2 linked regions of the Saccharomyces cerevisiae S288C genome follow. Changing the gene in region 2 together with the main gene of any one other region gives a genetic interaction. Each region holds a gene or a part of one and is shown on either strand. Other genes may lie near its edges.

Region 1 (3,476 bases), on a different chromosome or scaffold from region 2:
ACCTCGGTTTGGGTACAGAGTCACGCAATACATTGTTAACGGCAACTCCCATTGAATTAATCTGCCGGGAAGGCTTCTTCTACCGGAGAGATATTCCGGACGTTCCCATTACCACAGGAGCGTACCTGGAATTTAAATTCAAGGCGAAAGAAGAGGAATTGATCAACTCTAGCATCAATGAGGAGGATTATGCTGCTAAATCAAAGCATGAAAAAATGAATGCGCATTTCTTCAAGCCTGATATTCAAGAAGAGACGGAACTTGCCTTTGAAATTTTGAGCAAGACAACGCTGACAGAGAAATACGTTAACAGTTTGGAGTACTTCTTGATGGAATTCAGGTGGGAGAATAAACTAGTTGGTCTAGGCTTAAAACTTCGGGAATCCAAAAGAACCTGGCAAAGGAGAAAGGCGTTATTTGCCCTTTTCGAATTTTGGAGAGACCAATCAAGAGACAAAAGAAGATTCCACAACTACACCATCCTGCATGCGGTGAAAGAGATGGAAAACTACAGAATATTTATTAATCGATCCGTTTCATGGTTCTACAACCATATTACCCTGCTAAAAATGATCCTCTACGACCTCTGCGACAATGTGACCACTCAATGGAGAGAGTGGATGTTTCCCCATAACGAAACACTGCCGGCATTGGGTCAGGACGGCATTAACGAAGACAATCTGAATGAAACCATCGACAACATGTTAATTTTTGACTTCCTTGATGACGGTTCAGAAAACAACCAGGTCAAATATTCCAGAATCATACCGCCAGATATCCGTTAAGCTGGTCCGTACGTTGGGGCAGTTTCGAGAATAGATAAAAAAATGAAAAATAAAAAAAAATAAAAAAAACACAAAATAATGGACCGTTACTATGCCCAACCAAGTAACCTCCCAACTTATTTGGAACATTACATATTTAGCGCTTAACATTACATACATATTTAGCGCTTAACATTACATACACCTTTATCGACGAATTTGTAACTATTTCTTACTCTTGCGCTGAGGAACGCCCCAGTCGTACAAAAGCACCTCTGCATACTAAGAAACTTAAACTATCGCCATTGTCTCAAAATAGCAAAAAACGCAAAAAGCATACCGCTGGGCGCTTATCTATATTAACCTACACGAGAAAAGAAACATGATTGACTGCGTCAGATTCAAAAACCTGCAAAGTTTGTTTTTATAATTTTGGCGTTCAGCAAGCGCGCGGCTCCGCTCCATTAATATTCCAGAAAAAGAAATTCCTTCTTTGGGTGTTGTGTATTGCTACTTTGGGCAGGCGCGACCGGGCCAAAAGAATGCGGCACCCGGCAAAGACGCGTTCTGGCCCCTGAAGACTTAAGCACTGGAATGGCTCCGAGGATTGGTCACCCAGAAACAGGTGCAGACCAACCATTTCGAGATCTAGATGTTGCCTATTTCTCGAGGAAACGCTGCCGTTATCGCCATGTTTGGTGGAACAATTGTGAAACGTGATCAATTCGTGTTTGCAAGCTAGTGATCATTCGCATCCGAAAAAGAAACTGAAAATGTAAAACTCCAGTAAAACGAGACCTGTTGATGGATTGTTTCGTGTCTGGTATATATTATTGCTACTGCTCAAGAGAGCTTCTTTTTTTATGCTATCGAACTCGATCTTTCGCTCCGAAACACCTAACACTAACAAAAGGAATACCTGACAGAATACGCTATCAAAAGAACGAATATGACTAGTGCAAGTATTACCAATACTGGAAACGAAACCATGAACCTTCCACAGATGCGGTCGATTTGGCTGGATGAAGATGAAGAAGCTGAAAAACTCTACGGTCTGCAGGCCCAGCAATTCATGGGATCTGATGATGAAGAAAACCTAGGCATTACTTTCATCAACAGCGATAAACCTGTGCTGAGTAACAAGAAAAACATTGAGTTGCCTCCACTTTCACCAAATTCACATCCGTCTTGCCACCACAGGAGAAGTAATTCTAACTCTGCAAAGTCTAAAGAATCATCGTCATCATCGTCCAGCGCCAACAAGACAAATCACAAAAAGGTTTTCCTTAAGCTTAATTTGTTGAAGAAAAAGTTGCTTGGTGCCCAACCGGACATAAGAGGTAAAGGTATCTCCACACCATTTGATTTTCAACATATTTCACATGCTGACACTAGAAATGGATTCCAAGATGAGCAATTGCAGGAACCTTCATCGCTGTCCACAGAGATTAAGGACGACTATACCTCCTCCTCAAGCAAGCGGGATTCGAAATCACTAAATAAAGCTTTTGTCACTGAAAGGATCCCTGCTAATCGTGAAAGCAAACTCATTTCAAGATCGCACGAAAATAAGACATCAAGACTATCAGTCGCGCGTTCGATCTCAGTAACGTCCTCCAATTACTCTAAAAACACACAAGGAAACAATCATTCCATTAATGGGAGAGTCGTATCTACGTCAACTATGGCTACATCTATTTTTGAGTATTCCCCAAACGCATCTCCAAAACAATTTAAAAATAAGTCACACGCTCTGGGTCATAGATACACTAATTCCACGGATTCTAGTGAGTCTTCGCTGGATTTTTTGAAGAACTACAACTTCCCCACACTACTTGAAGATAAGCCTATTTTAGACTTCTTGCCTCGTTCTCAGAGGTCAAGCGCTTATCGTAGCCTTTTAGAGACCCCAAACTCAAATAAGGACTCAGCAAAAGCCTTCTTTCCTTCACGCCAAAGCCCTCTTCCCAAGAGAAGAAACTCTATAGCTACGCCTTCTCCACAATCTAAATTTTCCTACTCTGACTCCCCTGTAAACCATAGAAAATCTTTCGATGATGTTCTTTATTCTTTCAACCAGCTCGAGCCCCTGCAAACTTAAGCTAAGGACAGAAAATGAAAAAAAAAAAAAAAAAAAATTCAAAGAATCAGCTTATAAAACATATTCAAGGACCATCTGAAGTATCATTCATTCGTTTTTTACTCGTTAATCTCATTCATTCGTTTCCTCATTCTTTTTTCTTTGTTCTTTATTTCGGCTATTTTTTCACTATTAAAATAACTAGAGCTAACAATATTATTTCTTCTGCTTTAGTTACAAAACAAGGACATTCATTTAACTTGGCGTTATCCCATACATTCGTTTATTATATCTTCTTTTAAAACACAATTTCTTTTACAGTTAAACTTTTCTGATTTATTATATATTACTTAAGATTGTTCATATAACTAACATTTATATGCTTATATGCGTGAAGTGCGCTTTTGTAGAACATGTGGCTGTTTCTGTAGAAGCCTTGTCTTTCTCTGTAATCCTTTAAAGGCCAACCGTACGTGCTTAATTACAAGCTTTGTTCGCATTGCAAGAAAGTTAGAAAAAAAATCAATTCTGAAAGATAATTATAATTCAAACGGTAAACCATTGGTTAAAAGAGGGACATAACATTTCACTAGTTCAATACATTATATGCTCTTTAACAATGACAGATAGAT
Region 2 (3,758 bases):
GTACTGTTATTGTTCCGTTTCATGTTATTACAATATAATTGACTATCTGAACATTTTGTCTTCATTTTTTTTTTTTTTTATTATCGTTTTGTTTACGTTTAGGCGAAATACTCACCTCTTTACTATTAAAATAATAGAATTTATCAGAAAAAAAGTCAGCAACATCAAAAATAACAGATGGATGGCTCTAGGATAAAGGATTCTTATTCTCTTACGATTGTCTATGTTCTTTTGGTATTTATTTTAACTTTATATATCTGTCTTAATTTATAAATATTTATAACAACCCTTGGCGTAATGTAATCATTTAGTTCCAATCCAAAATTGGCCATTTTCGCCACGATCAATTTGCTTTCTCAGATGTCTACTTAATAACACTCCGACCTCATATTTCTCCTTCGTTTTCTTGTCAAGATATTCTTGAAGCTTCACTACGGCTCTATGTAGTCTCTTTCCGTCTTCCATAGATAAAGAACCCTGTGCATTCATCTTGTTTAGATAGTCAATTTCCTTTTGTAACTTAATGCATTTCATGGATAAATAATCATGTCTTTTTTCCAGCTTGGCAATACTGCCCAGCTCAGACGCTGATGTGATAGGAGAGGAGACTGGCGAATCATACTTATTTAGTGAAGATTTACGACTTCCGTTTCTTGAATTGGAATTGCTGCTCACCGAGATAACTCTGAACGGATTTGTAGGGCGTCGTGTCTCGAAATTCGCCATTTTTTTCTGTCCATCACCATCTGAATTAAAGTGATTTATATTGGTACCATCTTCTTTAGAATTCTTTTTAGGGATAAAAATTTTAGTTTGAGAATCTAAGGGAGTGCTTCCTCCAGAGCGATTGGGACAATTCTCTGAATTATCGTCATGGGGTGTTTGATCAGCTAAACGGCTGCTCTCATGGTTGTATTCATTGTCACCTCCTACAACTATGGTTTGCGGTTGTATATCTAGATCCTTATTAGCGGAAGAAAATTTGTCTAATACAAGTTCAGCGTCTAACTTGTTCTCACCGCCCAAGGTGTTATTCTGGGGCATGGGTGATTTGAAAGATTCAATCTCACTGTTTTCCTCTGTTCCCTTATCTACTCGCCCCTCTTCAACATCCGATTTTTCATCCTCCCATTCATCATCATTATTTTCGATAATTTCAACATCAGCTTCACCCCTGTTTTGATCTATATTGACTGTACCATCTTCTTTGTTCTCAGTGCAGGAGTCCTTTGCCTTTTCATTTCCAGCGGAATTTGCGACAAATGAATTATAGGAGTCACCAATAGCAATGGCGGTGTGAGTTATCTGCTCTTTCGCTATAAAAGGTTGAGTAACCGATAGCTGGGATGGGTCATCCGTACTCTTATTCGCTTCATTCTCAGTGGGAATATGGACCTGTGCGGTTTTGTGCTCTTCAACCTGAGCTGAATCTCCTGGGTTACTATCCGCTCCATCATTGCCACTAAAAAGAGCCGTTTCTGCCACCTTTACAGCGTCGACCACACCCGTATCCTTGACATTATCTTCGACAGCTTCGTCCTCCGCAGGTTCAACTAATTGTAAATTTTCGTCAATCATCTGGTTCATCTGGTTGATATCTATCTCTATTTGAGAAAGCCTCTTCTTTATCTTGTCCTGGTCCAAGCCCATCGTTTCTGTTGTTCTATTTCACACTAACATAGCATCACCATAACAGTAAATCAAATTACAAAACTATTAATGATTTTTGTTTATTATGAAGTTTGAATTTTCAGCGCAATATTTATTTCATAACGCGTCTAAAATGGTCTGGGTTCTGGGCATCTCTAAAGCCCTTCACTACTAGTGAAGAAGAAGAACAAGTAAGGCTTTTGGAAAAGAAAGAGCATCAAATTGAACGATAGGAGAAGTGCTACATACATTTGCCAAAGATCCGCATGGATAGAGTACGCTCTTTGATTGGAAATCGCCGGGGACGCCGACATAATCGCCAACATCCTCCGTATCCTCACAGTGGGTCTCCATCCACCGTCAATCTCTTGGGAGCTAATGGTTATGGAGACGACCAATCTACAATATTTGCACGAGAAAATGAATCTCTGGAAACCTCTGCCAACGAGGGCGATGATAGTGCGGATGCAGCTACTTTGAATACAGCGGTATCAGAAGGCTCAACAATTGGAGACCTACAAAGACAGGGTTATGTTAACAGAGCCCCAAGATTCACGTCAGAAAGAGCCATGCCATTCGTTTCGGTGCTACTACAACGAGGGTTTTTTGCATTCCCCAGTGAAGAATCTCTCCAGCTATTTTTACACAACAAGAGGAAGCTCGATAACATTGATCCAAAGAGGGGTCTAGGACTTCCCCTATTTCACGCCATTTCTTTAAACCTGGTCAAGTCGCTTTTCAGTGATCAAAATACACCGGTAATGAGGATATATAAATACGTTATGATAGACTCCCAATGCGATAAACCTCCATTAAACTCAGAAGTGGTCTCTCGAATAAACGAAAATGTCTCCATATATAAATATGAATTCTGCACTATTCTAAAAAAAATGGAAAGCCATAATTTTTCGAGCAGGGTAGAGCACGATTTTATATTTCATAGAAAAGATGAACCTGATGTTCATATCCCCATGATTAATTACAATCAAAGGAAAAATGCGGATACGGCAATTCATGGATTAAATCTTCGTTGGTACGGGACAACTAGTTTAGCTTCACCTTTTGGCTCAAATAGCATCAACCTACTTGTACTCGATGATACGATGGCATCCTACATGAACCAACAAACTATTGAAGAGTTTGATTCTTACAGCCGTTCCCGTCCCACAAGACCGCTGGGTTATCTCCCAGTATGGGCCAGATACACAGATGATAAAGTTAGTGTCATACCGAAAAAAAGAACTTTGAGAGTAGCTACCTTGTACTTACAAGAAACTGATTCGTTTGATGATGGCTCTAGTTTAACATCTACCAATTATACTGAAATGGGCTCTAATATCATTGAAAATGTGCCGTGGGATAGTCAGATACTTACTTGCATGTGCATGCTATTACATGAATATGAATCAAGAAAGGAGAAACGCCACACCGCATGGGGCAGCTCGACCACATATATGCTAAATGGACCGGCAGGATTACTGATGTAAACCCATTTGCATTTACTTGTGTTTTTTCCTGTTACTATTTAGTCATAATACCGCTAAGAAGCATATAAATATTCAAAGAGAAATATTGTCGTACACCATTAATTTTTCAATAACTCTTAAATACGTTTAGAATGTCACAAGTTTTCCTCACAAGTTTTCCTCTATTATGTAATGTTCCCTATACTACTTTATTCCTACAGTAATAATGTTGACTATCTATTCCTTTTCCTACTATCTTGTTCATCTCTTGGTGGATTCGGCATACGATTGTAACCAAACGTACGATTATACCACTTTATCATGTTACGTGGTGGTTCACCAAACACCATGTAGTACTCGCAAAATAAACACATGGGACTTGATTCGTTAACTAGGACAGAGAAATCTGGAACACGGTTTTCCGTTCTGGAAATATATTCAAAATCATGATAATAGTAGTTTCGTAGTTTGGATAAGTTTTCATAATGATGATGCGGGCAACAACTTTTATGGTCTCTAGATTCGTCATAAAAGTCATGTCGCCTTACATGCCCATTCTTTTTCGAGTTCTTTGACCTGCTGTGCTTTCTAGAAGATATGGAATGTTGACCGTCTCCATGCAAACGAGCTGCGTCAACGGTA

The links. Genes that interact genetically often act in the same process or in processes that back each other up.
Region 1: mutations in BNI5 (region 2) and GIC2 impair growth when combined (synthetic growth defect), as found in Saccharomyces cerevisiae (one study listed by BioGRID).

Annotation. Positions count from the first base shown.
Region 1 is NC_001136.10:1,078,437-1,081,912, reverse strand, and holds GIC2 (Gic2p), read left to right. Parts: upstream 1-1,713; coding exon 1,714-2,865; downstream 2,866-3,476. Other genes in the region: SUM1 (Sum1p), read left to right, coding at 1-785; SRB7 (Srb7p), read left to right, coding at 3,464-3,476. UniProt on the Saccharomyces cerevisiae protein: Required for cell size and shape control, bud site selection, bud emergence, actin cytoskeletal organization, mitotic spindle orientation/positioning, and mating projection formation in response to mating pheromone.
Region 2 is NC_001146.8:321,916-325,673, forward strand, and holds BNI5 (Bni5p), read right to left. Parts: upstream 1,651-3,758; coding exon 304-1,650; downstream 1-303. Other genes in the region: YNL165W (uncharacterized protein), read left to right, coding at 1,917-3,137; IBD2 (Ibd2p), read right to left, coding at 3,350-3,758. UniProt on the Saccharomyces cerevisiae protein: Required for normal septin function and cytokinesis. Its recruitment to the bud neck by CDCd11 and SHS1 ensures efficient localization at the bud neck of MYO1, the type II myosin of the actomyosin contractile ring.